Oryctolagus cuniculus: one gene and its partners. The protein of the gene in region 5 binds, or shares a complex with, the protein of the main gene of each other region. Links are inferred from orthologs where the notes say so. Each region holds a gene or a part of one and is shown on either strand. Other genes may lie near its edges. The genes, in order: TWSG1, RGMB, BMPR1A, HJV and GDF5.

Region 1 (5,916 bases), on a different chromosome or scaffold from region 5:
AGTAATTCCCATATGAGGGGTCTGATAAGGTTTGATGTACCATTCCTAGGGGTGGGGGAGTTGACCCCAAGTTCTCACATTGGGGATCTTTTATTTGCTTCTTTTATATTGATAAGCAGAGAGCTGGAGAGAGACAGCTTCAATTCATCGGTTTCTGCCCAAATGTCCACAGTGGCTAGGGCTGGGCCTGGCTGAAGCTGGAAGCAGAAAACTCAGTCTGGGTTTCCCACATTGTTGGCAGGGACCCCACTATCTTAGCCATTGCCGCTGCCTGCCAGCGTGCATGATAGCAGGAAGCTGGATCGGAAGTGAAGGAGCTAGGACTTTACTCAGGCATTTGGGTAAGGAATGCGGGCATCCCAAGTGGCACCTTAACCACTGTGCCAAACGTCCACTGCAGGGACGATTTTGAAAATCTGTACTTCTTATTGTACGAAAATGAACTAACCTCAACAGTGAGGCCCACCCCTCTCCATTCCACTATTTCCATTCTTTCTGTTTCCTTCCAGTCAATAAAGGGCAGTAGAAAGATGTTGAAACCTCTTAGTAGGGGCTGGCGCTGTGTGCACTGTGGTGTAGTGGGCCAAGCCTCTGCCTGTGGTGCTGCCATCCCATATGGGCGCTGGTTCATGTCCTGGCTGCTCCTCTGCTAATGGTCTGGGAAAGCAGTAGAAGGAAGTTCAAGTCCTTGGGCCCCTACACCCACGTGGGAGACCCAGAAGAAGCTCCTGGTTCCTGGCTTCAGATCAGCTCAGCTCCGTGGTTGCGGCTATTGGGGAGTGAACCAGTGGATGGAAGACCTCTCTCTCTCTCTGCCTCTCTGTAACTCTGCCTTTCAAGTAAATAAATAAAATCTTTGGAAAAAAAGAAAAGACTCAGTAGTGCAAGGGTTTGACACTAGGTCATTTTTTCCAAGGAGAAAGGGCCTATGGCTCCTCTAGGCTTTTGGGCTCCAACTTAATCATGCTTGAATCCTGTTTACAAAGCAAATTCTTGGGGCAGGCATTTGGCACCCTTGTTAAGACACCAACAAACCACAGAGGAGTGCATGAATTCAATAGCTCCTGACTCCAGCTTCCTGCATGCAGAGGGAGGTGGTGCTGATGGCTCAAGTGTTTGAGTAACCCTGCCACCCAAGTGGGAGACCCAGATGGAGTTCCAGGTTCCTGGCTTCCTGCCTCTCCCAGACTTGGATGTTGCAAGCATTTGGGTAGTGAACAAGTGGATGGAAGACTGGTCTCCTCCTACCTCAACCCTTTCAAGTAACAAATAAAAAAAAAAATAGAAATAAAATATAAAAAGTAAATTCTGGGGCAGGTGCTTGTCCTAGCTGTTAACACGCTGGCCATCCCATACCGGATAACCTGGGAGTACCTGGGTTGGATTCCTGCACTTGCTTCTGACTCCAGCAGCGCCCCCCGCACCCCCTCCCCCCGGTCCAATTTGCACCTTGGGAAGCAGCGGTGATGGCTTAAGTACTTGGGTCCCTAACTACAACGTAGGAGACCTGGATGAAGTTCCCCGCTTCACCCACAAGGGGTGACTCACGAGATGGGCGCTCGCTGTCTCTCTCCCTATCTCTGCCTCTCAAATAAATATATTTTTAAAAAGCAGATTCCCACATGGGAAAACATCGAGTGCAATCCTCGATTTCCTTGACCCGCATGCTAACTCTTGGTGGGATGAACCCCTCTTTTCGTTTTTCTTCTTCTTCTTTTTTTTATTTGACAGGTACGCAGGCGTGCGGGGAGGCGCTGCCCGGTGCCTTGGCGGTGCACGCCCCCGACCTTCGCTGAGTTCCCAATGTTGCGCACACCCCGGGCTTCGCACGCTTCAAGAAACAGCTGAGGGCCCTCGGCAGGCGCTGCCCTTGGCGGTCCTTCGTCGATCTGAGGTGGATCCCAGAAACCTGACGAAAAGCAGCGAGGGTTCAAGTGTCTGTTCCATTCCGGGGCGGGCTGGGCCGCTCCATCGCGCTGTGCCTCAGCTCCGCGTCCGGGAATCGCTCGCCTGCCGGGGCCGCTGCGAGGCACAGCGCACCCTCAGCCCGGCGACCGGCACTTGCCCACGTGTTTGTTCCTAACGCTGTGCAGCAGAGGGGAGCCAGAGATGGGTGTGACAGGAGGGTCTGCTGGAGCCCGACGCAGGTGACCGAAGCAAGGAAGAGCCGGCAAAGGAAAGCGCGCGCGGCCGGCCAGCCTGCGCGACGCGGCTCTGAGGGGCCCGGGCGGGTGCGCCCAGGGGAGTGGCCTGCGGGTGAGCGTGAGCGTGTGTTTGTGTGAGAGGGGTGTTGGGGTGTTCGGGGCTGGGGTCACGGTGAGGGAGTGGCTTTGCGGGCGGGCGGCTGCCGGGGCTGCGGGTGGGCGTGGTTTTAGCGCGGGCGTGGCCACGGCGGCGGGGCGTGGTCTGTGGGCGGGGAGCGTGCGCGCTGACCTGGGCGCCCAGGGTATAAGAGACGCCTCCTGGCGGGAGCTGGCGGTTGCCAGCCCCAGCGAGAGCCGAGGGTATCAGGGAGGAGGACTGCAGGCGGGCCTTTTCTCAGGTGGCCGAGGCTTGCGGGCTCTGCGCAGAAGGGACGGCGGGAGGCGCGGCCTGGCCTCGCTCTTACAGCCGCTGCGGCGCGCTCCGGGCTCGGCCGACCCGCCGGGAAACGAAGGGCAGGCGGCCTCTCGGCGCACGGTGAGCGGGAGCGGGCCGGTGGGGGGTGCAGTCTTCCCGGCCGCGGAGGGCCGGGCGCCGAACTCGGGCCTCTCTGGACGGAGGGCCGCGGCCTGGGCCCGGGGTTCTCGGGGGGTCTGAGAAGGTGCGTCGGCGGGCGGCTCCAGGCCGAACCAGCAGCATCCCTGCGACGCCCTCGGTGCAGGCCGGCGCGTGAGGCCCTGGGCCTGGCCCTCATCCTCCGCAGCCCGCAGCGGCCGAATGGGTAAGGGGCTAGGAGTCCCAGTCCCGGGCCACCGTCGGCCTCCTGCTCCCTCGCGCTGGGGGCTCTGGGACGGCCGGACCCTAGGCCAGGTCCTGCTGGGCCGCGATCGCTGTCAGTACCGCAGGTCGCCAGTCTGAGGCTGGATGCGTGAAAAACCTCTTTGATGCGTTGTTGTTCCTGCCTCCTTAGGAAACCCAGGAGCCCTTGACCTAACTGTTACCTGGTTTGGGCTTCGCTCTTAGTCCCTCGAATGCTCCTTTCCTGGTGAACTTGTCCAGGGCTGCCGAAGACAGCCACGCAAGATGGGGGAAGCGGCATGGGGTCGCGTCTGCCGTGGCTGCAGGAGAACTAGCTCGGGACAGCCAGCCTCAGAGGCTTTCTCTGAATACGTGCTGGGGGCTGCAGAAAGCATCCGGGGCTGTTTGTGGGGTTGAGTTAGGAGGTGGGTGTACTAGCGGTCCTCAGGGCAGTGCTTGAGGGCCTGGGTAATAGCGCCAGGGCTTTCTCTTTAAAAACTGACTCATGCTGGCTACGCAGCCCTTTATGCTTTTCACTCCTGGTTACCTGTTCTTTAGTGTACTTTGCAATACTTGCAAAAGTTGAGAAGAATCGTAAAGACGCCATAAGCCAACCTTCTATCCCTGTTACATCCAGTAGCGATTTATTTTGTTTGATAATGTTTTGGGGGCATGTTTTTTTATCCCAAGAAAAAACTTTTTTTTAAAGTTTAATAGCCTGTTGCCTGTTTAACCCTTGTTAGACTTTGTGCTGGCCTTACCCGCCTCCTTTGTGATTTTTAACTGATTTATCTTATGATTTCAAAGAATCTGTATCTAATAGAATGCAAACAATATCTTTACATTTTAATAAATTACTCAGAGTTCTTAATGCCATTAATAATTTACTGTCCCCTTTGTTACTGGTTCAATTATTTAAGGAATGACTGCACACACTTTTCTTTATTCTTGCTAAATATGGTGAGAGATAAAATGAGATAGCTATAAATAATTCAATTTGTTTTGATTGTAGGAATTTAAAAAATTGGGGCTGGTGCTGTGGCGTAGTGGGTTAAACCTGTGACCTGCAGTGCCAGCATCCCATATAGACACTGGTTCCAGTCCTGGCTGCTCTACTTCCAATCCAGCTCCCTGCTAATGCACCTGGGAAAGCAGCAGAGGATGGCTCAAGTCCTTGTGCCCCTGCACCCACATGGGAGACCTGGAAGGAGCTCCTTGTTTCTGGCTTTGGCCTGGCCCAGCCATTTGGGAATGAACCAGCCGATGAAAGATCTCTTTCTGTCTCTCCTTCTCTCTCTCTCTCTCTCTCTCTCTAACTCTGCCTTTCAAATAAATAAATAAATCTTTAAAAAAAGAATTTAAAAAATTTTAAGTGTTTTAAATTGTAATACAGTATTAATAGTTTTTATGTTGTTTTAATGTTGAATTGTAGCAATGTACTATTGAAACAGGTTATTCTCTTGATACAACTCTCAGGCTGTTGAGAGCTTAGGTATATTCAATTTAACTTCCACAGTCACCTTTTTTTTTCTTTCTTTTTTTTTCTTAAGATTTACATATTTATTTGAAAGTCAGAGTTACACAGAGAAAAGGAGGGCAGAGAGAGAGAGAGAGGGTCTTCCTTCCGTTGGTTCACTCCCCAACTGACTGCAACAGCCGGAGCTGCGCCCATCTGAAGTCAGGAGCTAGGAGCTTCTTCCAGGTCTTCCATGCGGGTGCAGGGGCCCAAGCACTTGGACCATCTTCTTCTGCTTTCCCAGGCCATAGCAGAGAGCTAGATCAGAAGTGGAGCAGTCAAGAATCGAACTGGTGCCCATATGAGATGCCAGCACTGCAGGCGGTGGCTTTACCCGCTATGCCATAAGCGCCAGCCCCAACAGTCACCATTTCTGAGAGACATAGTATTCCAGGTCTTTGAAGGTGGCTATCAAAACAGTACTGTATAAAATTATAGCTTATATTTTGAATGTTTAATCTTTCATTGACAATGCTTTTAAAATGATCACTCAAAAGTCTTTTGACATAAACAATGAGTCTTGGTTTATGTTTTGATGTTCATTTTTGTATTTGTCTTTCCTCTAGCACTTGCCTTTGAAATAAAGTGTTTTTTTTTTTTTCTTTTTGTTTGCTTAGCTTCCTGGGAGTTACTGATTATCTTCTTTGAGGAATCATGAAGTTGCCCTGTGTCATCACGCTTACCCTGGCGGGGCTGATGTTCCTGATGTGGCTCCCGGTGTCACTGAGCTGCAACAAAGCACTCTGTGCCAGCGACGTGAGCAAGTGCCTCATCCAGGTGGGATGATGAGTGTGTTCTTAGTGTTAACTGTATTGACAGCAGATATGAAATGGGCATGTGTATGTGTGTAGAATTATTGGTATGTGTGTATCAGGGTCTAAGGCCCAAGTATAGGTCAGAGCCTCAGGTACTAGACCATGGCACACTGGTCTGTATTTTTATATTCTCTTGCATATAAGCAAGCTGAGATTCAAGGAGTTCAGTGAGTATCATATTCATATTCTGTTTTACATACAAGATGATAACCACTGTATTCAAATGAATTAAAGCATTCCCTTGTATCACCTAATTTACATAGCAATGAGGCTCAATGACTATATTAAGAAAAAAGTTGGTCAAATAATAGATTGTACCCTGCATTTAACATATTAGTTATCTATTTCTGTGTAACTGATTACTCCACAACATGGCACCTTAATACAGTAAACATTTATTATCTCACAGTGTCCGAGAGTCCAGAATCAGGGAGCCATTTAGCTGGGGGGTTCTGGCTCAATCTCACAAGATTGCAGGCATGTTGGTGGTTGGGATTAGAGAATCTGCTTCCAAGATACTTAAATTCTCTCTCTTCTAATCCCCAAAGCAAGCCCACTATGTAGCTACCACTCTCATTTTCCTAGGAGAATGTGAGTTCAGGTGATTTGGCAAGATCCTTGGGGCCAACAAGTGCCAGTAGAACT
Region 2 (5,967 bases), on a different chromosome or scaffold from region 5:
CGGGCGCTGCTCGCTGGCTTCTCACGCCTCCCGTCCGTGAGCCCAGGAGCGCAATGGCGGGGTTGGGGGGTTGAGGTGGAGAAAACAAACCGCCCACCCCGGCCGCTCGCGCTAGGAGAGGGGCCTCCAGGGGCCCGACGAGGGTCGCAGCCCGCCGCCGTCCGCGGGTGGGTAGTGCTCCCGGGCGCCGCCGCCGCCGGGTCCCGGGCCGCAGCTGGCAGCCCTGCCCGCCACGTAGCTCAGGATCTCCGGTTAGACATTTCCTGTGCACCGCGGACGCGTTGCTAGCTCGCCGGAGCTATCCGGCGGTGGAGCGGGGTGATGGGGGCTGGGGGCGGTGGTGGCAGCCGTCCACCCCACCGGCCTGCGCGCTGCTCGAGCCTCTAGGTCCCTAGTGGAGTAGACCGTTCCTCCTCTAACTTTTTCATCGCTATGACACAGCGGCATGACTCAGGCGGCAAACACACCTTTCACTAGCCGAGCCTTCTGCACATGCTTCATGTTCCTAATGATAGCTCCGGAGTTGCCTTGCAGAAATGGCTTTTTGATAGGGGCGCGGAGGGAGGGAGCCCCTGAAATCGTTAGATAAGGCCGCGCACCCAAAACGATTAGAGCCAAAAAAAAAAAAAAAAAGGTACCCTCTCTCTCAATTCCTATCTACAATCAACTCTGTGACATGCAGCTATATGTCCTTTAAAAGCATGGTCGAACAGGACGCTGTGTGTCTGCAAGTGCTTTGTTAGCAAAGCCTTGACAGTAAATATATATATATATGTTTTTCAGTTCCTCTTCATGAGCCCTACGGCGGGAGCACCCCATTTTGTTGGCCACACTTCAGGACACCTGGCCGAGAGGCGGTGGCTCCGGGGTTCAGGTCGAGCCGGGGCTCCCCGCCGCGCCCCGAGTCTCCGGCCGGCAGAGGGCGCCCCGGAGGCGCGGCGGAGCCCGGCGTTGGGGCCCCGGGCCGCTGCGAGGCGCTTTATTGCTCCTCTGTTGTAAAATCTGACAAGCTCAAGATTTATAAGCCTAACAATCCACTTTTTATTGCCGCACAAGCGTTCAGCCGCTAGAAGAAAAATGCTAATTTTCACAACGAAACCGCAAGGTGGTCCCCCGTCTTCAAGACGCTGGGTCCGCCCACGGCCTCGCGGGTCCGTGCCGGGGAAGGGGGGCGGCCTGTACCCCACGGAGGAGCAGCCGTGGGCCAGGCCCGCACCGCACACGCCATCGACGACTTTCAGCAAGTTTGCTATTTTAATCAGAAAAAAAAAAAAAAACCTGCAAAACTCCAAGGAGTCGTGCAACTCGCAAGTCTCCCCCCCGGTTCCTCGCCACTTGTACTGGGTCTGAGGGCGAGACCAGAACCGCACTTTCTGGGGACCCCGGCAAAGCCGACCGCGGCCAGGGCGTGCACTCCACGCGCGCGATGCGGCGCCGCTTCCTGAGCCTGCACCTGCACCTGCCGCCTTCGCCGGTTTCCCCCAGCCCGAGTTAACAAACCGTCCACCTCTGCCTGCTTAGCAGGGACTTAAGGGGCTGGGGGCCCGGCTCGCGACCCGCCTGGGAGGGCTCCCCGGCTGCGGGCTGGGGCACAGGCGGCCCGGGCCCCCAGGGCTCCAGGCTCGTACTTACGTCATGCTTAACCCCTCCGCTGCTGCAGGGGGCCCGCGAGCTCCGGAACACGCAGGACCTGGGGGTGAGAGGAGAGCCCCCGAGCGCGGCGTGAGCACGGCGCCCCCCGAGGCAGGTGTGTGCGGGGGTGCGGGTGGTGGTGCCGGGCTCCCGCGCCGAGCGAGGCGCGCAGCCCGCCCCCCGCGCGCACCCCGCGGTCCCCGCGGGCCGCACCGCCCGAAGCGGCAGGTGCAAAAAGCATTTGGGAGCCGCTTGCCAGCGCGCGGAGGTAATGCGCTTCCTGTCCATTTATCTCAGGAAACCAGCGCAGCCTTGCCTTCGAAACAAAATTAACCTCTCATTAGCCAGCCACTCACTCCCAAGAAGGCCTTAAAAGCTTTACCAGCTCGCTAATGTAGTTAGGTTTTTTTTTTCCCCCTTCCAGGCAAGGGCAGCAAAGCCGCGGCCACGACGGCCAGCAGCCCCCTGGGTGGGGGGCTCCCCCAGGATCCCCACTTCGCGGTACCCAACGCCCCAGAGAAGCCGCCAGAGCAAGTGCCCACGAATGTCGCGGCAGCCCTTCGAGCCGATACCCCCACCCCACCGCACCCCCGTCCCCCTTGGCTTGGCACGGGGTCCGGCCCCAGGGGTGGAGGTCCCAGGCAGGCTGTCCACCGGCCCCGGGCGCCGCCTGCCCTTGGGCGCGCCCGCGAGCAAGACGGAGAGGCCAACGTGGTACCCCGGGTCCGCGAGGGGGGACAGGGGGCTTCTTCCCGCGCCGGCCCCCGCCACCCCGGGGCTGGTTGATTTATACCACACAGGTGGACGGAGAGCTAACGCCAAGCAGTGCCGGCCGCTGCCCGCCGCCCGCCCCCCGCGGGCCCCCCGGCCCACCGCAAACTCCGACAAAATAAACAACTCACCACAGGCATTCCCTTGTCTGCAGCGCGACGCCCGCCAGCTGGGAAAATAAGCCGCAAGCCACGCGGCCCGGGCGCGGGTGGGGGGTCGCGGGGCCCGGGGCGCCGGCGGGGAGGCTCCGCCTCGGGGTGGGGGGCGCTCGCCAGGCGAGGCGACTCGGGGCGAGCTCCGGGGGCCGGGGGCTGCGCCCGCTCTGCCACCTAGGGGAGAGGGCGAGGAGCCAAATGCCTGCCGCCCCCTCCTCGGAAGCGCGCCCCGCGCCGCACCGCCCCCTGCCGGCGCGACCCCCGACGGCGCCGGCGCGCGCAGGACCCCCGCCGCCACGGCCCGGCCCGCGCCACGCCGGGTGCTGAGTCGAGACCTCGCCTTCCCCGCCGCGCTGTCTCTCCCCACGAGGGTCTCCGAATGGGGGCAGGGGGCGGGTTCGGGTCCCCGAGGCCGGCCCCGGCGTGGACCTGAGCTAGCAGGTGGCTGGGTGCCTGCGCCAGCGCGCGGGAGACGCGGAGCGAGTTCCTGGGTGCGGGCGCGTGCGGGAGCGAGGCAGCAGATGCGAGATCCGCCTGCCTGGCCGCCCGGCCGTCTCTGTCTTTCAGCCTCTTAAATAACCAAACATAAATAAACGAGCGAGCCCGGGGCCAAGCTGTGGGAACAAGGAGAGGAGGAAGCGCTGGGAGTTGGAGCCAGCCCCGGGGAATGCTCCGGGGACCACAGTCGCCGCGCGGACGGCGCGGCGCGGCGCGGCGCGGCGCGGGGAAACAAAGCCGTTGCTCTCCTGGCCGGGGCCGAATTTCCAGGGCCGCTGCGTGGGGCCAGCGAGCGGCTCCCTTCGGAGGGGACTGCGGGACCCTCCCGCAGCTTCCCTGCGCCCGCTCCGCGCCCCGCGGCCTCCTCGCACTTCACCGGGCTGCCGCTGGGGGCAGCATCGGGCAGTCCACGAGGGCGGCCGAGGGAGGGGCCGTCCTGACTCCCGAGGCACCTGCGTGAGGGATTGAGTCAGGGTGTGCAAGGGGCACAGCTCCTCCCGGTTCTGAGATTCCGTGACAATGCACGCCTCCTCGCGCCCTTCTGCAGGCTCCCTGTTAAATGTTTTCCCACCTTGCTTTATCTTCTGCAAGTGCCAATCAAATTGAAAAAGAAAAAAGGAACCACCACAGAGGCTGCTTCAAGGTAAATGTAAGATACATTGAAATATGTTCTTTTTTTGCTACTGAGAATTAAAAAAAATAACGGTACTTCAGTTCTTGGTCTAGAGAAACAAGGAATTCTAATGCCCCCACTTGCTTTGCCTTTGAAAAGCCACTCCGGCAATCAGCAAAGCAGAGCTTTGATTTAGAAGCTAAAAGCTAGTCTCCTGTGTTTTTCTTTTCCCTTCCACCAATACAAAGTGGAGTGCAGCATAAAATAATGATGAACAAGAGTTCAAAGTCAGCCCAGGGAGCCAGCCCAGCCGATGTTTCTAATGCAGCCCCAGTCATCCACCACTTCCCGGCTCTGCTAGCTTTGGACGATGGGCGCAAGCCGTCAGAACCTCTTCTGCCCCATCCATCTCCATGTGATTTTGGCCAGTGGAACCTGGATGCTAACTTGTCAATCACTGTGTGAATGCATTCATCACACCACACATTGCATTTCTCCTTTATCTCATGATGTCTCTCAGGGGTTTCAGTTCAGAGCCCACATAGGAATTTTGACCTGCACTTTTGTTTCCTGTGGAATCTTCTCTGCAACAAAGGCGTAAAAGGATGAACTTTCATAATAGAAGTACTAATTTTTAAACTACAAATGCCTTGCTTAATTTCAACAGCAGAATTTCAGGATTTTTTTTTCATTTTCGAAGCAAGGCACTCTTTTAAAAAGTTGCATTTAGTGATATTGGTGGGAAAATATTGTGAGCTTGTGTAATTGCTTTTCCTTAAAAATGTAGTTGACAAAAATCATATATATTGTGCATGATGTGACTGAAATATGTATATGTTGTGGCATGACTATATGGCAGGGATTAAGGTAAGCGTTATGTCCCAAATTTAGTGAGGATACTTAATAACCATTCTCTGATTTTCAAGAATACAATTCATGGTTACTAACTGTATCACAGTTACCTTCATTTGTATCAACCTCAACATTCCCATTGTCCCATTCATGTATGCCAAAACATTTATATTTCTAATTACACCTCAGATGTTCCAGTAAGGTTCAAGTAAAAAGACCTGGCTTGTTTTTATTCTCAAATCCTTTATCTTGCTCAGTGCTCTACAATTTTCCCCCATCATGTTGTTTTGATTTTTCTTTTTTTCTCTCACACCAATCAAGGTAAGCCAAAAATGGGACTGTAAGAGAGGCAAAAAGTCATTTTTCAGTGAAGTATACTTAGCATTTCTCTGTTGACTGTAAGGAAACTGCTAATACAATATGTACTTGCACCATTTTCCGAGTATCCATGCAAAGACGACAGAACTTGAGCTTTTACGAAGCTCAGCTAGTGGATAATCCGACCTCCCAGCTGCTGAGAGTATAGCTGGCTTACTTTTTCTAAGTTTTTATTTGTGCAAACTGTGGGCCTCATCTCAGTTACCAGGAAACATGTGGATCTGTTTTCTAGTCCTTGTTTTGCTTTCCTTGCATGTGTTGTTGAAATTGATAGCCCCCTTAATAATTCCTTTATTTGCTTATACTGTTTGAGGATTATTGTTAATAAATTACACTATTATAAATATTAGTTGTACTAATAATAAAAGTGGTAAGGAAAAGAATTTTATAACATAATACTAGGAGAGAATGCCACTTTCTAAATGTGGTTTTGTAAAAAAAATATTTTACTTAGTCAAATCTTATTAAAGTTCATAAAACTTTTTTTTTTACTTCATAAGATCAATGTATAAATTGGGTAGAAACACAAAGGATCTAAGACCTACTTGCACTTTTTTTTTTTAAAAATGTCTTTTTTTTTTTTTTTTTTTTTGACAGGCAGAGTGGACAGTGAGAGAGAGAGAAAGAAAGGTCTTCTTTTGCCATTGGTTCACCCTCCAATGGCTGCCGTGGCCAGTGCGCTGCGGCCGGCGCACTGTGCTGATCCGATGGCAGGAGCCAGGTACTTCTCCTGGTCTCCCATGGGGTGCAGAGCCCAAGGACTTGGGCCATCCTCCACTGCACTCCCTGGCCACAGCAGAGAGCTGGCCTGGAAGAGGGGCAACCAGGACAGAATCCGGCGCCCCGACCGGAACTAGAACCTGGTATGCTGGCGCCGCAAGGCGGAGGATTAGCCTAGTGAGCCGCGGCACCGGCGCGACTTACTTGCACTTTTAAAAGGGTGAGGATTTGCTTTATTTTTTTCCCTTTGTACAAGGATACAAGAAAATTACCTTCAGCCATCAACTAATGTGATAACTAAGGTAACATAAGGAATTCTGGTAAATTGTGAATTTTAAAAGTGAACGT
Region 3 (5,468 bases), on a different chromosome or scaffold from region 5:
GGTTGAAATTATTTCAAGATATTTAGAAACAATTCAAAACAAAATATATGTCAAGAAATGTTTTAATATATAAAAATCTGTTTGGAATAAATTATTCTTCAGTATCAAATTTAATCCTGGACCACCTCGAGATGCACGATTCTTTAAAAACTGTACTGCATTTGTGTTCTAAATAAAGCATCCGAAAAACGAGGTACTGAGTATTTGTGAGGAGTGAATAGGGAAAACATCTGGCACATTCTAGGGAAACGCGATTTTTCAGAAACCACAGGTGAAGGTCACTTTCTGAGTTTATGAACACCCCTGGACGCTGGGAAGGCAACAGGAAAAGCTGATGAAAGCGCTGCACTTCAGAGACTTGTTCAGTGAGCGAGCACAGGGAGAGCTGCAGGACAAAGGGAAGCGGGTCTCGGTGAGCCTTTAATCCCAGACTCGCCGCCGCATAAGAGAACTCACTCCCGCTGTTCATATCCAGGTCCTTTAGGCTTTTGCTTTTCTGTTTATGATATTTAAAAGGTATGGCTGGCTGAAGCCAGACATTTATGAATGCTGAATTCTAAACTTTCAGGGTCTCATCAATTATCAACAGTGGTACCACACACACAGGGCTTCCCCTTACTGGCTGACAGAGTAATTGCTTCACTTAGTAGCTAAACTTCAAATTTAAGAGTAAGAGTGAGAAGGAGAGCAGAAAATGGTTAAGTTTCATGCAACTTTTTTTTTTTTTTTAGATTTCAGGATTCCAAATCTGGCAGCATTTGCTTTTTAAAGAAGATCGTATCCTAGGAAATGTTTTTGTTGAACAAGTTTTTTCGGGTTAATTCTCAGTATCACTGTCACCAGTCCACACTAATCAAAAACATTATCATTGTGACCTCATACACTGCAATTTTTTGCTTCACATACCATTTTAGCATTTCTAAGAATGAAATTTGCCTTTCGGTATAAATTTCCTATACTAAGATGACCAAAATTTTTAGTTTATCAAGTCATACACAAACCAAGGTTAACCAAGGTTAACCAGGGCTCAAAAACGTCACGTGGCAATCTCGATGAAAATATATTTCTGGATATATAGATGGGGAAACATTCTGAAAAGGCAAAAAGGCAAGTTATTTGGTACTGCCAATATGCAAATTTACTTATCTTAATAAACACTTCCGATTTTGATTATGTGAGATGCAACTTACTAAACAATCCAGACGGATAAGGCAAGCTTCAAATTTGTGTAGACACCCACATGTGCGTTTTAGCTTCCAACGACACGGAAGGACACGTGCTGTGATTTGCCCGCGTTTACTTTAAGCCTTTCTGACCGTGTGTGATATCCCCGCGTGGATGCTATGTCGATCTCACGGGATGCACCCATGAGCTGTGTGTTCTGAGCAGGAGGTGGCTATCTGGAGGTGTTACGCGGTAGCAAGCTGCAGGACCTGCACCGTTCCTGGAGGCGGGAAAGCATCTAGGAAACTGGCACCACTTTACTGAGTGACAGGCGCACTGCGTGCTCACGGGTGCTGACCAGGTGCTGAGCCTCTCCCGACTCTCCAGTGTCTGCACACGGCAGGGCGCAGAAACCGCAAACCATCTGGTTGTCTACAACACGCTTAATTAACAGCTGCGCATGGATTTCCATCAGCTCTGAGACAACATTTCTAATCAAGAGACTCCTCTCATAAAGGAACATTGCAATCTTAGTGGACACATTTTTGCCCAGGGCTGACAGGGCCCGGCATGGGGAGCCCTGCCGTGGCCGCGATCATTCTGAACACTCCCCCATAGTCCCGCTCTCCCCAGTGTCTCCCCTGGGGGGTGGGCTGAGGGCCCCGTGAGCTGGCTGCTAATACACGGACACATGTGACCCCCGCAGGCTGTCAGGGAGCAGGGGTTTTGCAAGTAAAGCACATTATACACAAAATATAAATAACTTCCCTTTTAAAAGTCACTGAGAACGAGGAACACAGAAGGCAGTCAGCGGCACTGGCACTGCGGGCCAACGCACAGCAGGTGCTTTCCAGGTGACGCAGCTTATGGCACTGGAGGCTCCAGCTCTGGGGAGGGTGCTCTTCCCAACAAAATACCCCCCCCAAAAAAAAGGGTGGTGGCAGGAAAACAGTCCAGATTCATGGGCACTTTAGACTTCTTTTGGCCTTGACACTGACTTTGACATTAAGAAGAAACACGGGTAGGGGAGCTCTCCAGCCCGCAAGGCTTTTAAAGAAGGGGACTCTCGGTCAGAAATTGCATTTTTAAAGCACAAACCAGCAGCCACCAGCACCTTCCTGTGCACTCGTCCGTCATTGTCTTCCAGCTCCCAGGGCAGCCGAGGGCGGCTGGCGGGTGACGGAGGCAGGCCAGGCGCCCCCTCGGGGCCACTCTGCAAAGGCAAGCGGAGCGCACAGATGGAACGTCCTCGGGTAGAAGGCAAGCGTGTGCTTCTCCACCTCTGCTGAACTCTATCTTCCGGAGGCTTTCACAGAAAGCACCACCTGCTGACCAGGCAGCTCAGCACCCAGAGTCTGACTGGAGCCCTACTCATCAGGACTGAAGTCTATGCAGTTCATAGAAACCCAATAAAAAAAGGCATCAAATACCACATTTAAAACACAGCTGTTCGTATAGAAACCAAGTGTCTACGAGTTCCCGGCTTCTAGGATACGGGAGGGTCTGACGCTAGCAGCCTGGGAAGGTGCAGTGAGGGCGGGCGTGAGCCAGGTTCGAGTCCTCCTCCCATGCTGGCCCCGGCGAGCCCAGGGGCAGGGGCGGCGCCTGCAGCGCGTAGCTCAGATCTTTACATCCTGCGACTCCACCATCTTGGCCAGCGTCTTCTTGATCCGCAGCGCCGTGAGTCTGGAGGCTGGATTGTGGGCCCAGCACTCTGACATCAGCTTCAGCACGGCCCGCAGGCACTGGAAGCAAAGAAGAAATGGTGAGCAGAGAGGGCGGTGGGCGCCAAAGCCCGCCCCCTCTGCGGGGAGCCGGCACTCACCTCGTCGCTGTTCCAGCGGTTGGACACAATCGGCCGCAGCCGCTTGACGCACACGACCTCGCGCATGTCCTCGTAGGATGGGTCGCTGGGCACCATGTTGTAGTACGGCAGCTGGTACTCTTCCACGATCCCTGCAGGCAGAGGGACACCGTGGCCACACTGCGCAGCCAACCTGCAGAGCTACAGGGCCACACAGCTCCTACCCAAGGAAGACAGCTAGGGCCTGGGGGTCCACTTCGAACGGTGAGTGCACGGGCTTCTCTTATTCATGCCCATTATTTCCTCCCCTCCAGCCAGCACCCCAGAACTGTGACAGCCCATCAGGAAACGCCAGTATTCCGTGGGTGGGGGGCAAGGCGAACCCTTGCACTTACTCTACACCATACACAGGACCACCGACTAGCAGGCTGTTCCTACCAATGAAATGCGTGTCTAGCCCTCTGGCTGACTTTGTCCCACAGTGGAGAGACATGAGCTGCAGACCAGAGTTCAGACAACAGCAGGCCTGACGCCGGGCTTCTCACTGAAGCCTGCTTGCAAGGCCGCCCTGGGCTGGTGCCTAGGAGCCTGCAGGCAAGACGACGCCCTGCGTGCACACAGAACTCTCCCTGTGGTAAAGGCACGGCTGCTCCTGGACGGTACGCACTCGACACCTGCTTTCCCTCTGGGAGCCGGGGGTTTGGGAGTGGCCAGGAGGAGGATGCCCACACCACCAGCTTTGCTGTGAGTGCCCTGTGTGACAGTGCATGACAGACGTCATCACGGTCCACAGTGGGAGGGGCTCGGCATCCTGACTCTGCCCCCGGCCCTTTCCTTGTCCGAGTTAGACTTGTGGCTCTCACCGTACATCTCAGCCGTGAGAATGACTACGTGCCGAGTCCTAGAGCCATCACGGCATCTGGGGGGCGCTCCTGGGGACTCTGACAGACGTGACATCTAAATTACCCCACAGCAGCTGCTGTTTCTTCAACGATGGGCAAACCAGTAGGACCAGGCAGGCCGCCCCACCGCCTACCTCCCGTGACGCAGCGGCGGGCCATCTCCCAGATGATGAGGCCGAAGCTGTAGATGTCCGCCATGATGTAGGGCTGGAAGTGGTTTTTGTTCAGGCTCTCGTCCAGCACCTCGGGAGCCATGTAGCGCTTGGTGCCCACCCTGGTGTTCAGGGGCACATCCACTTCATTCGTGTCACTGAAACAAGATGGTATCCAGGGTGAGTGCCACCAACGAAGAGCCTAGCTTGTGTTTTCACGACATTTTACACCAGTGTCTCCCCCTTTCTCTCTCTCATATCCTAAAAGCTTTGTAACTCTGATGTTTAAACAGCTGGCACCATCCAGCAGTCGTGGAGAAAGGGCGTCTTTCTCTGCTCTGTTCACAGGAGGGGTAGCTGACGCCTGCTTTGTGAGGGGACAACAGGCCACAGGTCGGAATTTCACATACTCCTTCTCCAGGAATCCATTGGGAACAAATACTTGTACAAGTGCTCAAGGCCATATTGTATTCTATGGATAAAACATAGTAATGTTCGCTAAAACTTTTTTAATAACAGGGATAAACTGAAGGTAACAGTAACATCCAACAGTTGGGTCACGGAAAACTACATCTGTTAAGTAGCAGCAGGGGGTCAGTGCTGTGGCACAGCAGGTTAAAGACCTGGCCTGTAGCACCAGCATCCCATATGGGTGCCAGCTGCTCCACTTCTGATCCAGCTCTCTGCTATGGCCTGGGAGAACAGTGGAAGATGGCCCAAGTCCTTGGGCCCCTGCACCCATGTGGGAGACCCAGAGGAAGCTCCTAGCTCCTGGCTTCAAACAGGCTCAGTTCCAGCCACTGCAGCCATTTGGGGGGTGAACCAGCTGATGGAAGATCTCTCTCTCTCTCTCTAATAAATAAAATAAATCTTAAAATTAAAAAAAAAGAATGAGGCAGATCTACACAAACACCCTTCTGAAAAGGAAGGACATGTAAGACAAAAAGCAGGAAATCAAGAATTATGTAAAGTAGTATGTAATTACTAACAAGAAAACCCCATAAAACTCCAACTATATGCATATATGACCTAACGAAGGGTCCCTACGTGTTTTCAGAGTTGCAATGTCCTCAGGACAAACAGGTACAGAAACACCCTTTGGAGGTGACAACACTTTCAACATGGTTGGGCAAAGACCCCCGCACCTGTTGAATTTAACAGCAAGGCCCAGGTCAGCAATACAACAGCTCCCGTTTTTCTTGATGAGGATGTTTTTGCTCTTCAGGTCTCGATGGGCAATGGCAGGCTTCCCTTGGGTGCCATAAATTTCTGTGTGCAAGTGGCACAGACCACAGGCAGCCGAGTAAGCCAACTTGAGCAGAGCTCTGGTGTCCAGGGTGGCACATTTCAGGAAGTCATAGAGGGACCCGTTCTCATGGTAGTCGGTGATCAGGTAGAGTTGAGTCCAGGAGCCTGTGCCTTTAATGTCCGCTGCTATGAAACCTG
Region 4 (6,246 bases), on a different chromosome or scaffold from region 5:
TTGCAGGGGCAATGTCAGGAGCAGCTGGATCGGAACAATCTGCCTGCTATACAATGGGGTTGGGAAATGTGATGAAGAGCCCCTGCACAGGTCTGCAATGCAGAGACCTGGTCTAGATCTTCATTCTGTGCTCATTTCAACCCAGGACGGCAGCCACATCTGACCCTGGATAGAGACATCGCTGAATATGTCTGCAGTCCCCACTGTTTCCTCTAGCAATTCTTTATTTTCTTTCATGCCAACCTCTATCCCCCAATAATTTCCAAACCAGTCACGGAGCTGCTGCGTACTTATTGGATGCAAAGCCACAGAACAGAGAGTCCGGAAAGGAGTGAGGCAAGGAAGGTGGCTGTGGAGAGAGGGACCCCAACATCTGAGGGGAAGAGGTGCAGCTTTTCTAAGTCCGGGAGGAAGGCGCGCGCATCTTCCAGAGCTGCCTGAGCTGCTGCAGTGAAGTTGGGGTCACCAGAGATTAACACATCAAAGACACAGGAATGGAAGTAAGCATCTTCAACCGGAAGCCCCTCCTTGCACAGCTGTCTGGCAGTGTCTATGGTGATAGCTCCCCGGCGACTGCGCTCTGAGCGGGAGAGCCGCTGACTTGGCGGGCACCCCCCAACGCAGAGCTGCAGGTCCTGCTCAGCCGAGAAGGCCCTGGCCACATCCTCTGCTACCTTGATCGAAAAGGAGAGCTGCCCAGCTGTCTGCCGAATGATTATAGTTGTGCCGATATAGGCGGCTCGGATCTCCACGTGGCTCCCAGGGTTAGCAGTCTGAATGGACAGACTTGAGCCCCCAGGTCGGTCGCCTCCATTGATAGAACCATCTTCAAAGGCTGCGGGAAGATTGTCCACCTCGGCCTGGTAGACCTTCTGATCGATGCACTCCTGCATGTTCTTAAATATGATGGTGAGCTGTGTGAGCAAGACAGAGAATGGTTCATTTGGGGCTCAACGCACCCTCCCATCAGGCCACCTGCATGCACAAAGTCAGGGCTCCCATCCAAGCTGGGAGACAAGGCTTCTCACGGCCCTCAGTCCTGGATCCCTTCTCCTACCTGTGCTCCAATACTGCTTCCTTCCCCCTCAGCCCCTCTCTCTACTTGTTGGTCCCAGTCTCCCAAGGAGACTTCTGAAGCGCCTCAGCTCCTCTTGCCCCAATTTTCTCCTTAGCGGTTTCAGCATTTGAGGGACATTCCCATGGAAGGAAACCGATTCACAGGAAAAAGCGCTTGGTAGGAGGGAGGGACCGGGGATGTGAGAGTGGGGATTGGGAGCACTGCTGTGGGATGATGGGGCTGGGGAGGCGGTGGGATGGGTGGGGGAACCCTTAGAAAATCTCATGAAGACCCCTGGAGGAAAATTGAGACCCTGACCTTCCGGGTGGTGGTGGCGTTGGCCCCCGTTGCCACGGGGGAGCTGGTGGCCTGGACAAAGAGGAAGTCGTTATCCAGCAGGGGCCAAGCTCCTTGGACACGGCACGTGTGAAAGTGGTGGTGGAAGCTGCGCACGTGGGGGTCCCCGAAGGAGGCGCAGTGCAAGAAGCCCGGGGGACGACCGTGCAGCCGCGAAAACTGGCCTTCGTAGTCGCAGGGGTCTGGGGTTGGGGGGCCAGGACCTGCTCCTGGAAGGGCAGGGCCGCGGGGCGGGGGAGGAGCCGTAGGGCCCTGGCGGGAGCAGTTATGCTGAATCATGAGATCCTCGATGCCGTGCACGGCGGAGTGGAAGGCAAGATCTCCGCGGCAGGTGCGGGCCGTGCGCCGAGTGCAGAGCGCGTAGGAGCGCAGCGCCCGACAGAGGCCGCCGGAGCCGGCTCCTCCTGCTCGGCCGCCGCTGCCGCCGCCCCCTCGAAGCCCTCCTGGCGAACCCCCACTTCTAAGGCTCAGGGTGGACGATACATACTCAGCATTGCAGCGGAGGATCTTGCATTGCGAATGAGCTGAGGACGGAAGGGAGCAGATTGTGAGGCGGTTCCCACATCCCTGCTCGAAGAGTCTCCTCCTAACTTCCAAATCTCATCAGGAGATTCCAGTCGTTCCTAAAACCTAGCCAAGCCCCTGCTCTCCCCCTCCGCCCCCTGGTCCTGTCCTCCCTCAGTCTTATTAAAGTGTGTGAGCCCACATGGTCTCCTCTGTCCACCAAGCTCTTCCCAGGGCCCTTCCCCAAGTCCAGTGGGACATGAAATGTCCCTGAGAGTAGGGCGGGTGCCTGGTACTGCCCGCAGCCGTTCTGCCTCAGGCACACAGGCTCACAGGCCCACCCCTGGGGTCTCCCAAGCCCTTCCCTGGCCGTTCCTTACCATGTCCACAGAGGAGCAGCAGAAGAGTGAGAGTGCTTAGAGTTGGGGGACTGCCGTGGTGGGGCCGGGGACTACGGAACTGGCCTGGATCCCCCATACCTATACAGCCAGGTGCCCCCAGCCCCGATTCTTCCCAGCTGATGGCCCTCCTACCTAGTGAATTTTGACCGGCTGTCCTGTAAGTGACTGAAAAAAAGAGAAATTTGGCTGGGCATGGAGAAAGAGAAGAGTTGAGGATTGGTCAGGATGCTGTGAAGAGAATCTGGGGAGATCAAGGAAAGGATGAGCAGTCGGGTTTTGGAGAGAATGGGGCTCCCCAAACTATAAGTGTGGCAGATGAGCTCTGCTCCTATGGTCACTTCCAGGTCCCTTGTGCAATACCCCCAGGTGGGGGTGGAGGGAAGGTTGAGTGACCTCAAGGGGGCAGAGTCCACATATTGCCCCATCTAGCACTACCAAACAGCAGCTCTGTCAAAAATGGAGGACTTGTGGAGGCAGATCAGTTCTCAGCTCCCCCGGGGTGGGGCTGGGGGTGGAGGGGTGTTCCCCTGCAGATTTCGGTTCTAGAAATCCTGTAGCAACACGCCCCTGAAGCGTCTCTCCCCACTAGAAGGGGCCGCCCTCCGGGAGTCGTCCATTTCTTTTCCCCTTTGGTGTCAGAAAGACAAGAAGGAGCACAGGGAGGATACCCTTGCCTTCTAGAACCTCTGTATTCCAATGAGAACAGAATCAATCTCTCATCCACTCAGGGGAGCTGCAGTCCTAATCCCCCTGTCTTAGAATAACAGGATGCAAAACCAGGCATGCCAATCAATGTTTGCTTTTTCTGAGTCAACAGTTGCTATTTTCCCAAACCTAACTGAAGAACCACTCTTTTCACTAATCTCCCCTTTGCAAATTTGAAGTTCTCAGTCTTTTGCTGAGGACAGGGGTTAGGGAAGGGCCAGCTCTCTCGTACCAAACTTCTCTCTTTTGGACTAATGAAACGATTTGGGAAAAGAGTAGGTTGGAGGGAGCAGAGTTGTGGGCAGACGTCATATATAAGACAAGGGATAGCTTCCACCCTTGGAAGTCCAATGTGAAGGGCATTGCTAAGTAGGGACAGGGTGCAGGCATGTCAGTGACTAATCATCTAGGTCAAATTTGGCCACAATGAGAAAACTACAGAATAGGGGGGTGGGCAACTCCTCCAAAGACTGCATTACAAGTCCTGGGGTAACAAGGCAAAGACTGCCAGACACAGACAGAGGATTAAACTTCAAATGGCCAGAGGTTAGATGCTAGAAAGAAGTGAGACTGAAAGAAATGGAGATTGGAGCACCTTGGTATAGAGAGATCCTAGCTTTTGGACCAGAGACATCCAAGGCAGTGTCTGTAATTTCATAAAAGTCTAACTTCAATCCAAGAGCTTATGAAAGGAATTGCAATTGCGTTTTAACTTACTGTTTCCAGAGGTCAAACATTACTCTGATATCCAATTCTCCAGCCATGGCTGCCTACTCTGTCAGTCTGCTCCAGCCAGGGGGTCCCCCGTCTCTTTCTCCATGTCTCCCCCAGCTCCCCAGGTCGGCTGCAATCTCCCTGAGGTCAGGAAGCCAGGGAAGGCTTGGTGTGGGGAAAAGGGGAGTATGTGGCTGGCGGGAGCATTGGACAGCTGAGCGGGGGAGGGAGGTGGCTACTGAGTTGACTGTTTTAAAAATAGCTAAGTCCAAAATTCCAGGAACATTGGTGGGGGTAGGGTGTGGGAGTGGGGAGGGTAGAAAGATTAGAGAGAATATGAAGTATTGGGTGCCAAGTGGGGAGAGTGGGAGAAATATGACAGCAAAGTCACATATCCAGTGCTTCTCAGGTCACTCTATGGTCGCTGTCTACTCCAGGCAGCCCTTTGGCGTTCTCAGCAATGAGCTCTTGACCTTTAAGTATTGTGGTGTGCAATCGGATACCTCTCACTTACTTCCCTCATCCGTGCTCTTTTGAACATTACATGTAGTTTCCACATAGAGTATCTGGAAGGTCTCTGACTAAGGAAGAGCCATAGCGGAGGTGGGTCACAGCCCCGCCCCCACCTTTGCGGAGTGTTCCAGGAGGACTGGCAAAGCCAGCTGTCCAGAGAAGAAATCTGAGCTTTGAGTTGTTTTGGGTGAGGGTTTGTTCAGTCTCCTCAGCTTGGATCCTTGCAGCTGTCTGTCCCTACCTCCTCTGTTTTCCATACCTTCGTTTGCACAGAAGTTCCTCCTCCCTCTCCCTCATGGGCACACAGCAATGCAAGCTCCTGAGTTGCTGGGAGAGAAGCTAACAAAGGCAAAGAGGAAGAGAAGGAATGGAGGTCATAGGAGAGGAGCAATTAGATAAACTGAGAGAAAAGGAGATCCTGAAATGTGCTTTCGTGGAGCAACATAATCTTGTGAGCCTCTAAGACTCGCGAGCATGGAATTTAACCATGTCATGTTTTGACAGCCATAGGAATATCTGGGATCACCATCTTAAAAAAAAAGTGTAAATGCCTTTGTATTTATCTGTGAGGCAGAGATATGGAGAGTTGTCATCCACTAGTTCACTCTCCTACTGTCTCAACAACGCTGACTGGGGCCAAGGCTTGAGGCAGGGAACCCAATCCAGGTCTCCCATGTGGGCGGCAGTAACTGAGTCACCTGAGCCATCGCCTGCTGCTTCCAGGAGCAGAGCTGAGTGCCAAACCCAGGCACTCTGGTATGGAATGCGGGCATTTTAACCACTAGACCAGACTCCCAACCATTCATCCTCTTAACATCTGCCAAAGGAAATTAGCACAAGGACTGATTCCAAATAGTATCACTACGGCATCTATACCCATGTTCTTTTTTTTTTTTTTTAAAGATTGATTTATTTATTTGAAAAGCAGAGTTACAAAGAGAGGCAGAGTGAGCGAGCGAGCGAGAGAGAAAGATCTTCCATCCGCTGGTTCATTCCCCAGAGGGTCACAATAGCCCGAGCTGCACTGATCTGCAGCCAGGAGCCAGGAGCTTCCTCTGGGTCTCCAGGCCATCTTCTACTGCTTTCCCAGGCCACAGCAGAGAGCTGGATCAGGAGTGGAGCAGCCAGGACTCGAACCGGCCCCCCATATGGGATGCTGGCACTGCAGGTGGTGGCTTTACCTGCTATGCCACAGCACCGGCCCTTATACCCATGCTCTTTACATTCAGAATCTAGAGGCCCACCATAGTATACTTCATATATATATATACATATATATATATACACACACACATATTCATGTATATGTATATACAAGTACTACAAGTACTATTATCATATATCTAACAAATTTAGTTTTTCCCTGAATCATATGAGGCCATATCACAAGAAGTTTCATTACAAAAATCTAAATGGGGGGTGGGGTGGTGCTGTGGCATAGTAGGCTAAGACTCTGCCTATGGGCGCCAGTTCATGCTCCAGCTGCTCTTCTTCCCATCCAGCTCTCTGCTATGGCCTGGGAAAGCAGCAGAGGACAGCCCAAGTGCTTAGGGCCCTGCACCAATGTTGGAGACCCGGAAGAAGCTCCTGACTCCTGGCTTTGGCTGGCCCAGCTCTGGCCATTGCAGCCATTTGGGAAGTGAACCAGCAGATGGAAGACCTCTCTGTCTCTCCCTCGACCTGACTGTAACTTCACCTCTCAAATAAATAAGTAAAATCTTGAAAAAAAAAATGTAAAACATTGAAAGTATTCAAGTGATTTTATTCAATATAAAGGGAAAGCTTCTCTTTATAAATGTATTACAGGAAATAAATGAAGAAAGGATAGCATAATTAGAATGCTAGCATTTTGTAACTCTTGATGAATTAAAGTGTCCAGGCAATGATCTATATCCATCACAAAAAGAGAGATAAATATTATGGTCTTCTGATCGGAAGTGGAGCACACAACTCCACCTTACATGAGACAATTTTGCAAAAAATAAAAACAAACAA
Region 5 (6,212 bases):
GGGATTGCCACCCAGGAAGACAGAGGGCCAGTGCTGCTACCTGCAGCCACAGGACTCCACGACCATGTCCTCATACTGCTTATACACCACGTTGTTGGCAGAGTCAATGAAGAGGATGCTGATGGGACTGAGCCGCGTGGGCACACAGCAGGTGGGGGGTGTGGACTCTGGGTCCATGGAGTTCATCAGGGTCTGGATGACCGCATGGTTCGTGGGCTCCAGGTGGGAGCGCAAGGGGAACTCGCACAGCCCCTCACAGTGGAAGGCCTCATACTCAAGGGGTGCGATGATCCAGTCGTCCCAGCCCATGTCCTTGAAGTTGACATGCAGTGCCTTCCGACTGCAGCGGGCCTTGAGGTTCTTGCTGGGTCGCTTGCCCTGGCGAGTGGCCAGGGGTGCCCGCCGTTTCCGACGCTGGCTGAAGAGGTACTCATACACGGTCTTATCATCCTGGCCGGAGCGGGCCTTGATCTCATTAAAGAACAGGTCCCGTTTCTTGGTGCGGCCGAACACTAGGAACAGAGCCTTCTCATGGACCTGCCGGGCAGTCCGATCAAAGCCCAGGCCACGGAGGTCCACGGCCCGGCCCCGTTCCCAGGCCTCCAGCTCCAGGCATAGCTGGGCCGAGTTCTTAAAGTTTCGGAAGAGCTTCCAGATGTCGAACACCTCCCAGCCAGAGCCGTCCAGGCCTGGCACGGAGCGCACATCCAGCAAGGCTGCCGGCTGCCGACCGCTGGGGCAGCTGGACAGCTTCAGCTGGGCAGCCCGCCCGCTGCCGGGGGCCACTGGCTTGGCTGTGTCTGAGGGCCTCTTCCGCAAGATCCGCAGCTCAGCCCCCAGCAGCCCGTCCTTCTCCAGGGCACTAATGTCAAACACGTACCTCTGCTTCCTGACCACAGGCCCTCGGTCATCTAGAGAGAACACCCAGAAGTCATTGCCTGCATCCCCCACCTCGGGGAGCCAGTCACCTCGAGGCCCCACGGGAGCACCCCAGCTCGCTCACTCACTCGCTCTCTCTCTCTCCCCCCTACGAGAGAGCTCTCTTTAACCTCTTCCCCACTCCAACAGAGGCCAAGACCCAGAGCACTGACAACCGTTTTCAAAAGGAGGGAGCTTCCCACAGGCAACCAAGGTCTGGTGTTCGTCTGCAAATGTAGCTGCGGTTGCCTTGAGTGATTTGGGGGTGGTTTGTGCCAATGATCTACATGTGTCAACGATCCGCCAGCCTTGGAGCTGCCTTCTGCCTCTCTCCCTCTCCTATCCATCATGCAACAGGATAGCTCAGTTATCAGACTGGCAGAGCAGACATTAAAATCACCTTTGTTTTTCCGGAGGAACCTACGGCTCTGAGAAGTTAGGTGCTTGCTTGAGAAAACCCAGCCAGGGTTGGAACGCTAGCCGGAAGCTTTTGATCCCCGATCTGAGCTGCTTTCACACTCTCCTGGAGGAGATCTGGGTGTTCTCGCTTTGTAGATGAGGGACAGGCATGCGGGGCGACTTGACTAAGGTCACACAGAGTTACCGACAAAGCTGTGGATAACTCAGCTTGCCAGGCTTTTGTGGATATGTCTTGCTCTGCGGCATGTGTGAGTGTGTGACGGTTTGTATGTGTGTGTGACTGGGTTTATTCTGAATAGGAAAGATCATGGCTGAGTACGCATGAGTTTCAAAATGTTTGCACCAAAAATATATGTCTTTCGATTCCATTTTTAAAAACTTTTAGACGCACCCTCGGGTGTGTGAGTGACATGTTACAAGTGTGTTGCATTGGGCTTGTGTGACTATCTGAAAGGTCAGTTCTTACATGTATACTTACATGTGAGAATTGTGTGTATAAAGAGGTATGTGAGTGTATGTGTGTGTGTGTGATTCCGCATGCATGTATAAATCCAAACTGTGTGTGCGAAGCTAGTAGTATCTCTGAATCGGCATACCCTTCTTCCTAAATACCAATTTGCCATTGGGGAACATTCATATATTGCTCTAGGTGACTAATTAGGCCTTTAAACTCCCCATCTCCCCCTCCCGAAGCCCCGTTAGTGCTGGGGGGCACAAGGACTGATTTTATGATTCCCCAAGGGGTCACAGCTTTCCCTGGCTGGGCAGGCAGCCAGGCCACCTCCCCCCACCTCAGCCAGACCTGCTGCCTCTGTGCCTCACCCCCGCCACCCGCACCCCCACCCCTGTGCTTCCCCTACAGGCCAGCTCTAATGAGGAACCTCTCCCAATCTCTGTCCCCTCCCCCACCCTGCCAGCCAAAGCCCCTCAAACTCTGAACCAGAGCCCAGGAGCTGCAAGCAACCCGAGCGATCAGCGGCCCACCCCCCCTTCTCACACTAGGGAGACGCTGCAGCCAGCCCGGAGAGGGAGACTTGCTGAGCTCACACAGCGAGTTAGAAGAAGAGCTGCAACAGTGACACGAGGTGGGCAGAGGGAGAAGTGAGGGGAGCAGGTGTTCCCCCAGGTTCAGGATGAAAATGATCTGTGGTTAGGACAGGACATCAGGTTTTCAGTTTTTGAGGGGCACTCAGAAATCACACAGCCCACCGCCCAAACGGCTGTGCACGTGGGAGAACAGAGCCTGCCGTGAGAAGGGCCTTTTTCTCAGGGTCACATTGCGAGTTAGACCCTGGGTCTGCAGTCTCCCCACGTCTCCAGACATCCTTCCACGACTGCAAGATGCCCCGGCTTCCTCTGCCCTCAGCCCAAGAGCAAAGCTGCAGAGCCTCGGCGACCGGGAGACTCAGCTCTCTCTCCACCCAGTGAGAAAATCTACAAACTCCAGGAGCCTGCAAAATCTGGCCAGCCCCCCCAGACGCAGAGCACGGCCTGGTAGTCAAGACTCTCGGAGTCTGGTCTCCGATCTGCCCCTCACGGGCAGCTCCGTCCCCTCTCCCGGCTCCAGTGCGCCTCTCTGCACCTTGCAGGAAGTGGATCTGGCGATCACTAGTCGCCTTCCAGCAATGACCTGCCAGCAGCCTGGACCTGGTGTGTGTGTGTGTGTGTGTGTGTGTGTGTGTGTGTGTGTGTAAGAGAGAAAGAAGTCAGGCACCCCATCCCAGGCCAGGTGCACACACCGTCCTGCCCCAGTGCAGCCCGTGCAAGGCCCCCTCTCCCACCCCGCCATGCATGCAGCTGCCCCTCCCTCTGAGTCGCACCCCTGCCACCCCACCCCCTCACCTTGCCCTTTGTCAATAAAGCTGGTGATGGTGTTGGCCAGGCCAGCCTCCAACTTCACGCTGCTGTTGCCTCCCTTTCTGTCAGCATCGGACAGCGTCCTGTACAGCGAGAGCATGTACTCGTGGGGTGTGATGGGGGGCGGGCGGAACGGTTCCTTGGGCTCTCGAGGGGGCCCGGGCTCCCTGGCCTTCTTCAGCAGGAAGGAGCTGGGGACAGATCCTGCCTTTGGGGGTGCCTTCCCCCCGGGAAGCTGTCCTTTTGGGGTCACAGTTCGTGCTGCAGTCTGCCTGGTCTGGGGAGGGTGTCCTGGCTTGGGTTCAGGGCCACCCGTTCTGGGGGGCAGCAGCTTTTTGGGTTCATCCTTCTTGGGCTGGGTCAGGCCTCCCGTCTGCCCGGTGCCTCCCTTGGCCCTGGCATTGGTGGCCCCCCCACCATAGCTGTGACCCCCGGGCCTGAAGATGCTCCGGGCCACCGCGGGCCTCTCCTTGGCCTCCGCTTTGGCCAACACTGGCCTGGGCCCCGGGGGTCTCTGGCCCAAGTCAGGGGCACCCAACACAGAGCAGACGAATTCCAGGTCCAGCCAAGCCAGGTGCCAAAGCAAGAGAGTGAGGAGTGTGGGGAGTCTCATCCTCTGGCCAGCCGCTGGATGACACCAAAGAGAACGGCGGCAGCAGCGAAGGAGCCTCTGGCTTGGCAGGAAAAACCATGAAAGGAGTGGACTTTCAAAGGCAGCGGCGGCGGCAGTAGCGGCAGCAGGGACGGCGCTCTCAGTCTGAGACTCCTGAAGTCTGCCGGGCGTGTGTTTGTGTCCAGTCCCATCGTGGAAATGCTTGCGGATCCAGACGTGCACCGTCTCCAGTCAGCAGCTGAAAATAACTCGTTCTTGAAAGGAGAAAGCCGACCGCCCCCTTTCTCCTGCACAACTGACTGAGGGCTTGAAGGAGGCTTGTATAAGACTGAGGGATTTTTCCAAGAAGGAAGAATGGCGTAATGCTGCCTGTGTGCTCCAGTTTTTTTTTCCTCCCCCCCTGGTTTTGAATCCTTTCCAGTGAAAATACTTCACACACACACACACACACACATACACACACACATACACAGAGGCCTGCAGGTGCTCAGAAAAATCTTTTACAAACCTGAACTCAGGAATTGGAAACGGAATTCCAACCCAAACCAATTTAATTACTCTCTGATGTCATGCTGTCTAAACTCATTTAAGTACGATATATTTATGTGAAAAAAGTCACGGCTGCCCTTTGCAGGCCCTGGCTCACGGGGGCTCTTGGCACAGAGCCCCACAGCGGGACTTGCGGCTTAGGGGGCTCCCGGTCGGCCCAGCAGACTCAGGGGTCCTCATGTGCACTTCACGGAGCAGCCCACCCCACCTGCCTGCAGAGGCATGCCCGGGAATGAGCTCGAAGATCTTAAGCCCCAGAAACACGGGCAGTGTGGGTTTTCAGTAAGTCCTTGCCATGTTTTTAAGGCGGTTTCAACCCCTGCGTGTAGTCCTGGGCCTGATTTGTTCTGTGTGTGTGTGTGTGTGTGTATGTGTGTGTGTGTTGGCGGGAGGTAGCACAGATGGCAGCATTTACCTACAGTTTCTTTTATTTGAATAAACTTGAGGTGACCCAGAGAGAGAGAGAAAGATCTTGGTGCCCGCTGCACTCCCCGCCGAATGCCACTGACGGAGCGCAGGTGAGTTCTTCAGGCTTGGGGGCACTGGCACCCCGGAGCCCGCTGTGTGGACGGAGACAGGTCCCGGCAGCCCCCAACCTCCTCAGAGTTCCCTTCGAGCAGGAGGGCTGAGTCCAGAGGCTACGGCCCCAGCCTGGGGCAGCAGCGACCCCTGCAGGAGGCTGGAAAAGCGGCTTCCTCCATGCGTTTCTGGTAGCTCTACAAGTCCCAATTCCAGCTGGACTTGGGGTTTCTTAAAGTGCCTCCTGGAAGCCAGGAAGCCCCCTTCGCTCGGGAGCCTGTCCCTTAGAGGCCATGGGCAACTCGCCCCAGAATCGTGGGGTAAGAGTTGTTCCCTTCACCTAGAATGTCCTCCTCTCCCACAATGAAGGAAGCCCTCCTCATCCTGACAAGTCTAGCTGACATCTCACCTCCTCCAGGAAGCCTTTCTCGATCTCCAGACAGAGCCAATCACTCCCTCGTGTCCACCTCACTGCAACAACACTGGCCAGGAGTTCCATGGCATCCTTCTTAATCTAAGAGACTCTGAGGTCTCAGAAGCTCTGTGATGTCTGCAGGGGTGTGCCGGCACCCAGCGGTCCTCGCCTGGTGGACCCTGGGCCCTCACTGATCTTCAGAGCACAACAGCACACTTTGGCCATCCGAGCTGCATCTGGGGCTCTGAGGTCAGAAAAGACAATAGAGCTCCCCTCCCCACCTCGGAGGCTCTCTCTGGGGAGCTCGACGGAGGGCAGCCACCTCTCTTCCAGTCACTTGGCTTGGCTTCAGTCCCTTACCCAGGCCTCTCTGGCACACATCTCCCCGCCCCTCCACCCTCCATGTCCCCATCACTGTCCCTATTCTCCGTCCAAACTCGTAACTCCTTCGTAAGTGGCTTCCAGACCCGCAGGATCTCCTAGGTCATCCCTCCCTCTACCTACCCTTTGAACAAGTGCCAACTCACGTGGTGCCTCCTCCATGAAGCCTGCCCTCATGCTCCAGTAAAGGAACACTCCTTCCGAACTGCCACCTTTCCATTCATCCAGCCTCTGCTCCCACCCCCATCTCCAACACTGGTCATTTCTTCTACTCCGGGTATGTTTCTCATATTTTTATCATAACTTAATTCCTTGTAACTATAATAATTTATTTATATGTCTCCCCCATTTGATTATGACTAGACTGTACCATATTTATATTTCAATTATTCCCAGTGCTTGGCATGGGGCCCAGCACAGAGCAGATTTTCAGTATATGTTGTACCAGTGAATGAATCTCTAACTGGCCCTTTTATACAAAAGCCATCACTCTCTACTTTAGAAGGTAGTAACTTGTGGACATATTGTACCTTCCCTGCT

Evidence for each region.
Region 1: the proteins of GDF5 (region 5) and TWSG1 are in contact, whole or in part, in a crystal structure (PDB 8BWL), measured with the Homo sapiens proteins. The link is inferred for Oryctolagus cuniculus from reciprocal best matches to the Homo sapiens genes GDF5 and TWSG1. Residues at the interface, in NP_000548.2 of Homo sapiens: Glu434, Phe435, Pro436, Ser439, His440, Glu442, Asn445, Val448, Ile449, Leu452, Ser455; in NP_065699.1 of Homo sapiens: Cys26, Lys28, Cys31, Ala32, Ser33, Val35, Ser36, Leu39, Ile40, Cys44, Gln45, Cys46, Arg47, Cys73, Val74.
Region 2: the proteins of GDF5 (region 5) and RGMB are in contact, whole or in part, in a crystal structure (PDB 6Z3J), measured with the Homo sapiens proteins. The link is inferred for Oryctolagus cuniculus from reciprocal best matches to the Homo sapiens genes GDF5 and RGMB. Residues at the interface, in NP_000548.2 of Homo sapiens: Leu396, Arg399, Phe435, Pro436, Leu437, Arg438, Ser439, Asn445, Val448, Ile449, Leu452, Ser455, Met456; in NP_001353437.1 of Homo sapiens: Gln57, Thr60, Phe63, Val64, Thr67, Ser68, Leu70, Asn71, Tyr88, Leu103, Val104, Ser107, Ala108, Leu110, Gly111, Ile112, Asp114, Leu115, Gln118.
Region 3: the proteins of GDF5 (region 5) and BMPR1A are in contact, whole or in part, in a crystal structure (PDB 3QB4), measured with the Homo sapiens proteins. The link is inferred for Oryctolagus cuniculus from reciprocal best matches to the Homo sapiens genes GDF5 and BMPR1A. Residues at the interface, in NP_000548.2 of Homo sapiens: Arg399, Phe435, Pro436, Leu437, Ser439, His440, Glu442, Pro443, Asn445, Val448, Ile449, Leu452, Ser455, Met456, Pro458; in NP_001393490.1 of Homo sapiens: Gly65, His66, Cys67, Pro68, Ile77, Thr78, Phe83, Ile85, Glu87, Cys100, Met101, Lys102, Glu104, Gly105, Phe108, Gln109, Asp112, Ser113, Lys115, Ala116, Gln117, Arg120, Ile122.
Region 4: the proteins of GDF5 (region 5) and HJV are in contact, whole or in part, in a crystal structure (PDB 6Z3L), measured with the Homo sapiens proteins. The link is inferred for Oryctolagus cuniculus from reciprocal best matches to the Homo sapiens genes GDF5 and HJV. Residues at the interface, in NP_000548.2 of Homo sapiens: Met412, Trp414, Trp417, Phe478, Asp480, Ser481, Lys488, Tyr490, Met493; in NP_001366281.1 of Homo sapiens: Arg95, Arg98, Gly99, Leu101, His104, Ser105, His108.

Annotation. Positions count from the first base shown.
Region 1 is NC_091441.1:66,528,919-66,534,834, forward strand, and holds the start of TWSG1 (twisted gastrulation protein homolog 1), read left to right. Parts: upstream 1-2,378; 5' UTR 2,379-2,679; exon of another isoform or gene 2,680-2,923; intron 2,924-5,073; 5' UTR 5,074-5,110; coding exon 5,111-5,233; intron 5,234-5,916. UniProt on the Homo sapiens protein: May be involved in dorsoventral axis formation. Seems to antagonize BMP signaling by forming ternary complexes with CHRD and BMPs, thereby preventing BMPs from binding to their receptors.
Region 2 is NC_091445.1:21,218,067-21,224,033, reverse strand, and holds the start of RGMB (repulsive guidance molecule B), read right to left. Parts: upstream 3,413-5,967; 5' UTR 2,894-3,412; intron 2,733-2,893; 5' UTR 2,535-2,732; intron 1,691-2,534; 5' UTR 1,638-1,690; coding exon 1,633-1,637; intron 1-1,632. UniProt on the Homo sapiens protein: Member of the repulsive guidance molecule (RGM) family that contributes to the patterning of the developing nervous system. Acts as a bone morphogenetic protein (BMP) coreceptor that potentiates BMP signaling. Promotes neuronal adhesion.
Region 3 is NC_091446.1:78,229,334-78,234,801, reverse strand, and holds part of BMPR1A (bone morphogenetic protein receptor type-1A), read right to left. Parts: intron 5,466-5,468; coding exon 5,168-5,465; intron 4,181-5,167; coding exon 4,005-4,180; intron 3,121-4,004; coding exon 2,990-3,120; intron 2,910-2,989; coding exon 2,784-2,909; 3' UTR 1-2,783. UniProt on the Homo sapiens protein: On ligand binding, forms a receptor complex consisting of two type II and two type I transmembrane serine/threonine kinases.
Region 4 is NC_091438.1:48,867,901-48,874,146, reverse strand, and holds HJV (hemojuvelin), read right to left. Parts: upstream 3,988-6,246; 5' UTR 3,742-3,987; intron 2,485-3,741; 5' UTR 2,396-2,484; coding exon 2,299-2,395; intron 1,939-2,298; coding exon 1,376-1,938; intron 915-1,375; coding exon 291-914; 3' UTR 207-290; downstream 1-206. UniProt on the Homo sapiens protein: Acts as a bone morphogenetic protein (BMP) coreceptor. Through enhancement of BMP signaling regulates hepcidin (HAMP) expression and regulates iron homeostasis.
Region 5 is NC_091442.1:22,724,178-22,730,389, reverse strand, and holds GDF5 (growth/differentiation factor 5 precursor), read right to left. Parts: upstream 3,809-6,212; coding exon 3,181-3,808; intron 912-3,180; coding exon 37-911; downstream 1-36. UniProt on the Homo sapiens protein: Growth factor involved in bone and cartilage formation. During cartilage development regulates differentiation of chondrogenic tissue through two pathways.